Linked DNA regions of Xenopus tropicalis. The protein of the gene in region 1 binds, or shares a complex with, the protein of each later gene. Links are inferred from orthologs where the notes say so. Each region holds a gene or a part of one and is shown in the gene's direction. Other genes may lie near its edges.

Region 1 (3,649 bases):
TACACGTGTTAAGTATTTATTCCTTATTTTTAGACGCCGGCCAAGCAGGGAGCGGGAAAGGAGTCGAGAAAGGAGAAGGTCTCGCAGCAGAGAACGTAGGAGATCCAGGAGTAAGAGCCGCACCAGAAGGTCCCGTTCAGCCAGCCCAAGCAAAAACAAGAAAGAAATAAGGTTTGTTTATCCTTTTAAATGCAAACTGACTCCATACCCAATTATTATGGCCAGATCCATTATTGTCCACAGGATCCATACTGCTACCCCCCACCCATGCCTAGTTTTAAAATCTCCTCAAACCTTCTAGCTATTTTCTCCCCCTAAATTGCTGCATCATCAGGACAACTATTAGGGGGGGACTGTTGTCTGGGGCTCAGACAAATTTTTCCCCCAGGGGAGGGCTGGCCAGGTAGCACAAACTGATGGAACCTTTGTAAAAACATAAACAGCATACCTTGAAAATGACTCAACTTACATATCAGCAATGACAATTCAGAATAGCTTGAGAGGCAAGGTGTATTTATACTTTCAACTGAATGAAAGTTAAAATCACTGGGGGCTGCCAAAGGCCCCTAAAATCGCACTAGCCGGGGTGTGGTCCTCTTCCTTCCTTTATTTCTTCTACTGCGCATGTGTAGCCAGTACAAAGAAAGAAGACGGAAGAGGGTTGGTAGCCTGCATGTACCCTGGCCCAGTGCTTTTTTTTTTTTTTTTTTTTTTTTGCTAATAGGAGCTCCAGCCCGGGGTATAGTATAAGTGAATTCAATACATTCTGACATGCCTAACATTTTGGCACCTACAGTGATTTGATCTTTCCTTCTCCTTTAAAGTTACCTATAGGTCATTGATTTTAACTGATAGCTGCTTTTGTAAGTAATTGTTAATTGAAGTTTCTAAACCTGACTGTTTTGCCAGCCTAACTTCTCAACCTTTACTCAATATCTGATGCCTTTTATGTATTGTTACATTAATTCATTATAAAAAAAATATTATTTTTAAGGTTATGTAATAGTCCGAATAGGGGGTACCTTTTTCTTACCCGCCTCATCGCCTGGAGGAGCTCTTCTTTTGTATAAAAAAAAACAAAAACTGCTTTAGCAAAGTGGCTCTTCTTTCTAATGCCTTTTTTAAAAAAAAAATTACAATTTGTTTATCTTGTGGTTCAGGATCCAAAGATGCAGTTTTTGGGTGGGTGTCTAGTATCCCCTTAAAACAATTATAATGCTAATGATATAATAATTATTATGCTATTCCAGGCTTAATCAGAGGCCCACCTGGAAAATGGTTCAAAACCACTACTTTTGCTGTATCTGTGATAAATGAAGTTATGTTCATAGGCAAAGTTTTAAAGGAACAGTAACACCAAAAAATTAAAGCGCTTTAAAGTAATAAAAATATAATGCACTGTTGCCCTGCACTGGTAAAACTGGTGTGTTTGCTACAGTAACCCTACTATAATTTATATAATAAGCTGCTGTGTAGCCACGGGGGCAGCCATTCGAGCTGGAAAAAAGAAGAAAAGGCACAGGTTACATAGCAGATAACAGATAAGTTCTGTAGAATACAATAGTGTTTTATCTGTTATCTGCTAAGTGCCTGTGCCTTTTTCTCCTTTGAATGGCTGCCTCCATGGCTACATAGCAGCTTATTTATATAAATCATAGTAGACTTTCTGAAGTAAACACACAACTTTTACCAGTGCAGGGCAGCAGCACATTATATTTTAGTTACTTTTATACACTTTAATTTTTTGGTGTTACTGTTCCTTTAACTTTTGGCTCTGTTCTACAATTCTGAATTCTTTTGATAACACCAGCATTTTTCCATAATGTAGATCAAAATCTAAAGAGAAAACAGATGGCACAGAAGCATCCAAAGAGAAGAAAAAAGAAAAGGATGACAAAGAGGAAGAAAAGGAAAAAGAGAAGGATGTTAGTGTGAGTATGTTAAGTAGACATAAGAATATTCATTGGTATTTACTGAACTTAAAAAGTTCAGGATAGAAAGAAATATTTCCATGTTTAAGTTTTCAGGGAAAGTTGGGGAGGTAGTAAGTGATAAAATGTATTTTCTGTTTTATGGTAAGAAACACATTTCAACCAAAAGCCCTTTCTGGTGGGTTTGATTTGAATATTTTTTTTCTTTCTAGACTAGCAGAAACTAGTTTCATTAACTCTGCCTTTCTCTCTGTATTTAGAATTTTGATCAAAATAAATTGGAAGAAGAAATGCGCAAACGCAAAGAGAGGGTGGAAAAGTGGAGAGAAGAGCAACGTAAAAGAGTTGTGGAAAGCATTGGAGAGCTGAAAAAAGAAATTGAAGAAATGAGACAAGGGAAAAAATGGAGCTTAGAAGATGATGATGGTAAGTGTCAAGTTTTCAATCTGCTAAAAAAAAATGACCTAGTAAAATCTGTGAAGCTTTGTTAATCGTGTACTATATAAAATGTTTGGGGATATCATTGCTGCTGTTCACAGAGAATAAGTAATGAATGTCCAGTTGAGGTATATCACTTTGGTATCTTGCAAAATGGGATTGCCTATTCATTATAGCATGTATTAAAGATATGTGGCCCGAGAGATCTGTGTGTGTTAATGTTTAGATATCTGAGGATTGGGAGGTTATGGGAACCCACTCACAGTAGCATGTCTAAGCTGTAGGTATAGAAAATAACTAGTTCTAGGGTCCTGTAGCGAGGACCTTTTAAAAAGATTTAAATTTCTCTTTCATACGGTTGGCAATAGTATTTGACCCTAAACTTTGGCGACTGGGTGTCAATAGAGTCTTGGATTACCTATGATTCCAAGTTTTGGAGGGTGACATTTTAGTATCCTTTTCCATTCTAATTTTCAATGTGGAGGGAAGCGATTGTTTCTGAGCTCTTTTCTAAAACAGAATATTTACTAGGGCCTTAACAGAACCATCTTGATTTTCCAAGGTAATCTACACAACAAGATAAATATGGTAGTAAACTAGATAGAAAGAAAAATTATGGTACTGACCAAAGGCAGTTAAAAGCAACCTAGTGTTGATGACCTTACTCCTGCAACAACTTCCTATTTGGGCTAAGATGCTTTTGATTTCCCTGGTTTCTTTTATAGCTTCATGTATGTGCTCTTCTGTACTTCTCTTTTCCCTCCTCTCCTATGACTTTGCTACTAGAAATTGCCTTGTCAGAGGAGCCCTTTAGATATATTGTAAAGGAGGAGCTACAGAATTTTTTTTATTTTGTCCGACCTTTGCTGTTTAGGTTTAACCCCCATATGTCTGTGCCAACAGAAAAGTATTTAAAGGGACAGTAACACAAAAAAATGAAAGTGTATAAAAGTAATTACTATATAATGTAATGCTGCTCTGTACTGGTACAACTAGTGTGTTTTCCTTAGAAAGACTACTATAGTTTATATCAGGGGTCCCCAACCTTTCTTACTCGGGAGCCACAGTCAAATGTAAAAAGACTTGGGGAGCAACACAAGCATCATAAAAGTTCATGGAGCCAAATAAGGGCTAAGATTGGCTATTAGGCAGCCTCTATGCACATAATCAGCTTACAGGGGCTTTATTTGGTAGCAAATTCCCTTTTTTATTCAACCAAAACTTGCCCCCAAGTCAGGAATTCAAAAATAACTCCCTGGTTTGGGGGCACTGAGAGCAAC
Region 2 (4,344 bases), on another chromosome or scaffold:
CTTTCAAGTACATATGCAACTAACTGAAAGGATATGTATTTACTCAAAAATGCCACTTGCTTCTCCATTCATTGTTGGTATCTTCTCTTTCTGTAGGGGAGTTATCTGGCTCATACACAAGGAAAAAAGCATCAGACAAATTTGTAAGTTAAATGTGCTGATTTTATGCATTAAAAAACACAGCAATGTCAAGTCAAAGTTTCCATTATTTATCTAAAGAATGTAAACATAGCCACCCCCAAACTGTACTTCAGTTGAACGTTGTGGTGGGAATTCCTTCCTAAACCCAAACTTGACAGATAATTGTAGGAAAGGAAACCACCCAACCCATTTTTAATTCCAACCAAAACCAGTCCTCCATGCATCTTGTCAGGGTTTGTGCACAACATCTACAGTTATTAACCGCTTGCTGCAGGTAGATCATAAAAGGTATGGTGTTTGCAGTCAAGGGAGTAACTGCCAGAGCCATAGGTTTTAATGTTCTGGCTTTCTCCATTCTCTTAACCTCTCAGATCGAGAGGTGTGGCAGAGGAATGGTTAATTCTCCTTAATTTTAAACATTTTAAGTTGTGTCAAATTGCTGTACTGATTTCTCTGGCACTGTCTTATTAAAGATCATTTTGTGAACAGTTGCAGACATTCTTACTTTTTTTTTTCCTTTTGATCAGAGCTCGCCGAGCGGCCAAAGAAGCAAAGGAAGCACCAGCACAACCTGCCCCAGAAAAAGTAAAGGTAGAAGTGAAGAAATTTGTCAAAATTGGTCGACCTGGATACAAGGGTGAGATTAAGTGTTGTGTCAATATGTCTTTTATATGAATGCAGTGGTTTATAACCCTGATTCCAACATAATAATCTTTTTTGGTATCCTCAGTCACATGTGGATTACCCTTACATTTAATAGCCTATCTTTTTGTTTGAAGACTGGTTATGCTAACATTTGGCTTAATCATCTGCTTGCAACAGTCCTCTGCACCCATCAGTGCAGGTATATCACTAGGTGCTTTCAGATGGATGTCAGAATTATGCAGTCACACTTTCATCTACCTTTTGTTGCTGCTGTTAGAATGTTTTAAACATTTAGAAGTCCTGTTAGCAAATGTTTCCAGCATTAGTGATGTTTTTTGCACTGATATTGATTTGGCCACTCAGCATTGCAGCTGTTTCTGCCCTGTATCTTGAATGTGAAAGAGTAAATGATATTATTTCACTGACTGATAATAAAGCCATACATTTATTTATTTTCTAGTGACTAAGCAGAGAGATCCAGAAATGGCCCAGCAGTCTTTGTTGTTTCAGGTAATAATGTGATTTACTGATATGCCATCTCTCTTAGACTCTATTTTAAACAAATAATTTAGATTTTTAAAAACAAAGTCCCTTTTTCTGTAATAATAAAACAGTACCTTGTACTTGATGCCAACTAATATAATTGTTACTTATTGGAGACAAAACAATTGTATTTGGTTGATTTAAAGAAAACCCTGGGTCGCAAGCAATCTGGATAAGAGGTTCCATACCTGTATTACAAAAAATTCTATATTACTGATGACAACAAGTATTGTCATAAATGTTACCCCTAAAACAATAACCAATATGTCAATGATGCTCCAGATGCTATAGGGGTGCCCATGCTGTAATGATGCTTCAGCCCTGTCTTTCTTTCTCTGCAGATTGACTATCCTGAGATAGCTGAAGGTATCATGCCCCGACACCGCTTTATGTCTGCATACGAACAGAGGATTGAGCCCCCAGACAGACGATGGCAGTACCTGCTGATGGCTGCAGAGCCCTATGAAACTATTGCTTTTAAGGTAGGATAAGCTATAGAGCAAGCCTTTCTCTAGCATTTGAAACCATAACTTTGAAAAACTCGCACATACAAAACCCTTCTCACCTTATAACACAATTATATATTCTTCAAATACGATTCAGTAGGCGTACCAAACACCCACCATTTCTGCAAAATGACATATTTTTAGTACAGCCTGCACTAACCTACTGAAAATTGACAAGAATTATTTTATCCATGTATCCAATTGTGGAATTTCTACAGCACTTTTTCTTTTATCCAACAGGTCCCAAGTCGAGAAATAGACAAAGTGGAGGGAAAGTTTTGGACACATTGGAACAGAGAGACAAAACAGGTAATATAAAATACATCTTGTGCAAAAGGGGGATCCCTCACGTATGTACCCTAGTAGTCTTAATTACATGTGTTCATTTTGTGCACATTTTGCATATTTCCTCCAAGACAAGATAATTGCCTGACGTGTGATTGTGTACGCAGTGCCCAGGTGATCACTATAAAAGTCTATGGAAGGGCAGTTACAAGCTGCCCACCAAGCTGCAAATTATACAGGGGTGGGTGGCAAAACACCTACAGTCCTGCAGTATGCCATAGGGATAGTTAATTTAATAGTTTTGCCTACCCTTTTTTCTTTAAATGCCAAACAGGCTGAGGTTTAACATTGTGTGTATAAATATTCTTTTTTTATATTATTTAAATAAATGTATAGTAAAAAGCCATAAAGGAACAATAAATAACCCCCCAGTCCTGTCTTTAAGGTAATAATGCATAAATATCAGACAAATACACAATCACCATTAAACAACATTGTAGTAGGTTAGTAGTAACTGCAACAAAGGCAGTATATTCTTTGTTTATTATTACATACAGCCACCGGGTATAACCAGTTACCACAGGCATAGGCACTAAATGGAGAAAATTGCAGCATAATGTATTTAAGCCTAAATGTAAAAAAAAAAAAAGCCAAATATAGGACTTCCCAGATATAAACTGTATAAAGTAAAACACTAAATAACTATTTGAATGTGATGTACCCCTTATTGAAATGGATTACATCACCACTCCATTTTTAAATAACAAATATCCCCACTGTAAAAAATCCTCAGTCATAGTGCCAAATATCAGATCATCATAGTGTAAGGCTAAGGTTATATCCACACGAAAAAATGTTGCCGGAAACCGTTTGGTAACACTCTAGTTTTTCTACACATTTCTGAATACTTCTGGATTACCTTGTAAAGGCTTGGAGCTACAGTATGTGACCTTTTCAACACTTTTTCCTTTGCCCTCTCTTTCAGTTTTTCCTACAGTTCCACTTTAAGATGGAGAAGCCTCCACAAGCACCCACTTTGCCTCCAGCACCACCTGGTGTTAAAAGACCTGTTCCTCCAGCCATCAATGGGATACAAGCACGTCCTCCAATGCCTGAGAATATGCCGCCTCCTCCTCCAGGAGGACTGCCTATGCCCCCAATGCCACCTGGGACACCTGCACCTCCTGTACCGCCACCACAGCTTCCACCTGCCCCAGTTGTTCCTCCTCCTGGGGTGCACCCTCCTGTGCCCCCACCTTCTCTTCCTCCTCCTGGCGTACCACCACCTGGTGTACCACCACCTCCTAATCCTGCTGTGCCTCCACCTGGTGTTCCACCTCCAGGCATTCCTCCTCCAGGCATTCCTCCTCCTGGTGTACCCCCACCACCTGCCCCAGGAGTGCCTCCGCCCCCTGCACCTGGTGTGCCACTCCCTCCAACGCCAGGGGTTCCACCTCCTCCTGCCCCAGGGGTACCTCCTCCACCAGCGCCAGGTGTACCACCTCCAGCACCTGGTGTTCTCCCACCTGGCCCTATGCCTCCAATGATGAGGCCACCTTTACCTAGCGATGGACCAACAAATATTCCTCCACCCCCTCCCACCAACTGATGTATTTCTTTTTCAAAGATAAGCATATTTTTCCCAGTTTTTTTTATTTGTGGTATGTTTTAAATCATTAAAAAAAAATCCCACCTTTGAAATAATATAATGTGGTTTCTCATTTTGTGTGTATGTAGTAGAGTTAGTTACAGGAAGCAAAGCTATAATAACAAAGATTTGCATGGTCAATTGAAACAAAACATATTTGCATTGTTTTGCATTCTGTGCAAATGGATTGAGGCCTGCAATATCCTACTGGGAATTCCTGATTTAATATGTACTACAGAGTGGTGCATTGGTTATTCCAGCAATATCCCTGACAGAGTTTCCACAATAGAGGTTTTGTGAGTTGTCAAGGACAAGGTATGGGAGAGTTTCACAGGGGTGGCTTTCTAAAAATAAGCTGTGAGGGATCCCATTCATTTTGCAAAGTAAAAAAAATTAAAAACATGGGACAGCACAGTTTGGGAATGCGCATCCCACAGTGAACTCAAGGTCTTAGCTTGGCCAAAATGCGGGAACCTCCCAGCATCTCGAACAAAGCTTGGCAGTAAAGGCATCACTAATATTTTCTGAATGCAAGGAGGTATTTGTAACATGCCTTTCTGCACAAATACGTGTGTG
Region 3 (4,409 bases), on another chromosome or scaffold:
TAATGTGAGGAGTTAAACTATGTTGCAGTGCCATCTTGCAAGTCATGCATAATGGCGTGGCAAGATCAAGACATTTGCCAATCCTGATTGGTGGGTAGGGGGCAGCAAATCAGTACTGTCCCACAAAAATCAGTAGTTATAACCCATATACTGGGCAAAATCAAACTGATCAGATGGTTATGATCCAACAACTGTATCACAACCTAGGACTATGGGACAATGTTGTCAAAGCTGCCAGCTTATACTGGGGAGGCCAACCAAACTGTCATCTTACATTGTCCTGTGTACAATCAGGATAAAAGAGAATAAAAGCCTGGTTAGTACCTTTGTCCCTTCCTAAACCCCACCAACAGGGACCCCCAAACCTGCTTAGTTGTTGTATCTGGTTAGAAGAAGAAAAGTGCAGGTTTGGCAGCTGCCATCTTGGGCTGCTCTGGCTCCCCTCACTACTGCTCCACCAGTCTGCTTTTTATATCCAGGGGCAACAAACAAGGAGTTTTTGGTACCAAGGCATTCACCAGGCTTTCAGTTACCTTTAACATTAAAGGTTTAAAAATATACATCAGACACAATAGTCAAATCTACTATTTGGCCAATAAGACTTTCTTGTCTCACTAAATTCTCAACCAACAGACATCTCTATGTAAAAGGGGAGGAGCATTGGTCTTTACATGTGACCCTTGTATGTTCCTTTAGGGTGAAGACACACAGAGCTACTAGTAGCAGCTACTTTTTCACAGCTACTAAACGCCAAAAAATCCCCTGCCATAGACAATACTGAGAATTCCCTCTGCTAAGGGCTCTGGCACACGGGGAGATTAGTCGCCCGCGACAAAACTCCCTGTTCGCGGGCGACTAATCTCCCTGAGTTGCCTTCCCCTGCCATCCCATCGGCGACAATGTAAGTCGCCGGTGGGATGGCACACGCGGCGGCGCGATTTCCCGAAATCGCCGAAAAAGATTTGGGAAATCGCGCCGCCGCGTGTGCCATCCCGCCGGCGACTTACATGTTTGCCAGTGGGATGGCGGGTCATGACAACTCGGGGAGATTAGTCGCCCGCGAACAGGGAGTTTTGTCGCGGGCGACTAATCTCCCCGTGTGCCAGAGCCCTAAAACACATTGAGACTGTTATCAGTAAATGATCAGCATTGTCTATTTAAGTAGCGACTACAAGTAGTTGCTACTAGTAGCTCCGTGTGTCTGCACCCTTAGCTCACACCAGGGACCCTTTAATAATCCTTGGTGCCCATAGAAACAATGAAACACCCTCTATGCGCTGACAATACTGGCACATTTACTGTAAAATCTTAAAAAAATATAAAAATAAATAAATAACCCCCTCAGAGTTTACTACACGTTTACTTTTAGCTTTGGGGTTTCATTACAATACAAATATCTCCGCCGGAAAGCATTGACTGCATAAGGCATGTTAATAAAGTTATTCCATCTAAAAAAAAAAAAAAAAAGTGGTTGCGGAAGTAAGCGTTCTGAGGCCGGAAGTAGGGAAGCGGAAACTGAAGCAGCGAGGTGGCTGAGTGGTTGGCGGCGAGAAAATGGCGGCTGGGCCGATATCTGAACGGAACCAGGGTAAGGAACGTACAGACTGCGTATGGGCTGCATGGGGTGATTGGGGCGGAGGGAACTGTTATGCCGGGGGGGCTGGAAGTAGGGGTATCCGGGGTTTACAGGGAACAGTAAGAGCTCAGAGCAGGGGGAGGCGGGCTGCACTGTGTGCATGAGGTGCAGGCTCCATCTCTGTGCAAAAGTCATTTGGACACAAAGCTGTTCTTATAATATCGGCAGCCCGGCCTGTAACTGTACCTGAATCTACACAGAAACATTGATCTGCTTCTTCCCCACCAATACAGTTTATAGTGCTATCCCCATAAACACTGTGTATAATGCACAGAACTAATGCTAAGCAGCCTCCCTATATACATTCATTACACATTTCCAACGTTTATAAAGTTTCTTGCAAAATATAATTGTTAGCGAAAGCCGTCTGTCTTATTATAGTCTACACTGCTGGTTCTGACTTCTGAAACAATGTAACAAAGGCCAGGGCTATTAAACTATGAAATGGTTTCAAGAATAAGAAAGGGGCAGATAGATACTACTTCCAATAGCAATAGCATTTACCTTTGAACCACTGATTTTTTTTATTACCGTATATACTCGAGTATAAGCCGATCCGAATATAAGCCGAGGTACCTAATTTTACCTAAGAAAACTGGAAAAACTTATTGACTTGAGTATAAGCCGACCAGTTACATGGGAGTAGGAGAAACAATAGGTTACCTCAAAGCTGTTCTATCTCATGGTGGCGATTTGGGACATCAGTGCCCGACAAGACAAGGATGAGACACCCACAGAATGGCCACCCAGCACCCTGCTATATTTCAATGAGACCCAAAGCAACTCCCGGTGTGCAAGTGAAGCAGCGGTACCTTGCGGTGTGCCCTGTCAGCAGCGCCAGAGGATCCGTAAGCCCAGCATTTACGCTGCTCTTTAAATAAGCGGCGGCGCTCCTCTTAATTCCAACCTGTGTGTCTGCAAGGAGCCGTCATGTAATCGCCTCGCCAGCTGCCGTGTGACAAGGGTTAAAGAAACAGAGCGCTCTCGGCACAATTATTGCAATAAGCAGCACACCCGACAGCAACAAGACACCACGGTCCGGGAGTTTGGCGCTGTTTGGCCGGTCCTTAGAGTTGCGGGACAACCTCAATAAAGTCCGCGAACGGGTCCTTCGCTATCTGGCGGTAGTCCGAGCGCTATCTTCCGCTACGTCACAGGTGTGCAGGCAGGTTCGCATGCAACGAGCAGCTGCGAAACCATTTACCGTATATATACGCGAGTATATGCGCGAGTATAAGCCGAGGGTTCCTTTTTCAGCACATTTTTAGTGCTGAAAAACTCGGCTTATACTCGAGTATATACGGTATATATATATGTTGGAAAGTTGATGAAAACTTTCTCTCGTTATCTTTCGGGTTTATAGGTGGATATCTCCAGGGTTGTAAAGGGAAAGCTAAACCCTGTAGCAAGGAGAGTTTGTATTACAAGGATTAAAGGAACAGTAACACCAAAAAATGAAAGTGTATAAGGGCTCTGGAACACGAGGAGATTTGTCGCCGGCGATTTTTAAAAGAGCGATTTGGCGACAAGACACCAATGCTAAATCAATGGAAATTGCCAGCGTCAAAACATACGAGGCTACTTCAGATCGCCTGCTGTTTCAAGTCGCACACAGACCCTTTTCTGAGCGACTTGAGGGGGGTTAACTGTTGAGTGTACCATGGGTAGCAGATCGCCTGGAGCTCAACTCGCATGAAATCTCTTTGAGGGTATTCTCGTGGCGACTTGTCGCCAAAGCGCCAGGGGGAAAAAACGCAGACGACAAATCTCCTCGTGTGCCAGAGCCCTAAAAGTAACTAAAATATAATGTGCTGCTGCCCTGCACTGGTAAAAGCTGTGTGTTTGCTTCAGAAAGTCTACTATAATTTATATAAATAAGCTGCTATGTAGCCATGGGGGCAGCCATTCAAAGGAGAAAAGGCACAGGCACATAGCAGATAACAGATAAAACACTATTGTATTCTACAGAACTTATCTGTTATCTGCTATGTAACCTGTGCCTTTTCTCCTCTTTTCCAGCTTGAATGGCTGCCCCTGTGGCTACACAGCAGCTTATCATATAAATTATAGTAGTGTTACTGTAGCAAACACACCAGTTTTACCAGTTCAGGGCAACAGTGCCTCGGATCTATGATCTGTGCATTTATTCAGAGTGTAACGGGGATATTTAAAGAGAAGGTGGAATAGCTGATTTGCCGTGTACTATAACTTTTTTTTTTTTTCTTTTTGGATTTAGATGCCACAGTGTATGTCGGAGGCCTGGATGAAAAGGTGTCTGAGCCTCTTCTATGGGAGCTCTTCTTGCAAGCAGGGCCTGTAGTGAATACACACATGCCCAAAGACAGGGTCACGGGGCAGCATCAAGGTAAGATTGGCACCTCTTAACCATTATTTCTTATAGCTGTGTATAGGCAGGAATGGAGGGGAATGCTGTGGAGAAGTTGTTGCAATTTGTAACAAGAATGTTTTAGTCCCTCCTCCCCTGCCAGGATTTCAAATGATGCAGAAAGAGAAGAACTGTTTTGCAGCTGGATTTCAGCATATAAAAATGGTATTTATTCATGCTTTTTGAAGGAACAGATTACAGGGTATTTTGGGGGTTTCTGTGTGCGGGAAGCAATAGTTTCCACATCGTTTGATCATGGTTAAAGCAACATATCTACTTGGTCACTGTCTCTTCCCATTTGCCTGAATGGGGAAACACCACAGGTGTCCTGGTGAAAATGTGTGCTGGATCCAAAAGCATCAGGGTGAAGACACACAGAGCTACTAA

Evidence for each region.
Region 2: ddx46 (region 1) and sf3a2 share a complex: the UniProt entries of both Homo sapiens proteins name them as parts of the 17S U2 SnRNP complex. The link is inferred for Xenopus tropicalis from reciprocal best matches to the Homo sapiens genes DDX46 and SF3A2.
Region 3: ddx46 (region 1) and sf3b4 share a complex: the UniProt entries of both Homo sapiens proteins name them as parts of the 17S U2 SnRNP complex. The link is inferred for Xenopus tropicalis from reciprocal best matches to the Homo sapiens genes DDX46 and SF3B4.

The regions. Positions count from the first base shown.
Region 1 is NC_030679.2:26,202,449-26,206,097, reverse strand, and holds part of ddx46 (probable ATP-dependent RNA helicase DDX46), read left to right. Parts: intron 1-33; coding exon 34-171; intron 172-1,828; coding exon 1,829-1,931; intron 1,932-2,191; coding exon 2,192-2,357; intron 2,358-3,649. UniProt on the Homo sapiens protein: Component of the 17S U2 SnRNP complex of the spliceosome, a large ribonucleoprotein complex that removes introns from transcribed pre-mRNAs.
Region 2 is NC_030677.2:102,623,169-102,627,512, reverse strand, and holds the end of sf3a2 (splicing factor 3A subunit 2), read left to right. Parts: intron 1-96; coding exon 97-143; intron 144-668; coding exon 669-778; intron 779-1,246; coding exon 1,247-1,296; intron 1,297-1,670; coding exon 1,671-1,811; intron 1,812-2,075; coding exon 2,076-2,144; intron 2,145-3,105; coding exon 3,106-3,729; 3' UTR 3,730-3,824; downstream 3,825-4,344. UniProt on the Homo sapiens protein: Component of the 17S U2 SnRNP complex of the spliceosome, a large ribonucleoprotein complex that removes introns from transcribed pre-mRNAs.
Region 3 is NC_030684.2:128,887,537-128,891,945, reverse strand, and holds the start of sf3b4 (splicing factor 3B subunit 4), read left to right. Parts: upstream 1-1,518; 5' UTR 1,519-1,554; coding exon 1,555-1,588; intron 1,589-3,872; coding exon 3,873-4,001; intron 4,002-4,409. UniProt on the Homo sapiens protein: Component of the 17S U2 SnRNP complex of the spliceosome, a large ribonucleoprotein complex that removes introns from transcribed pre-mRNAs.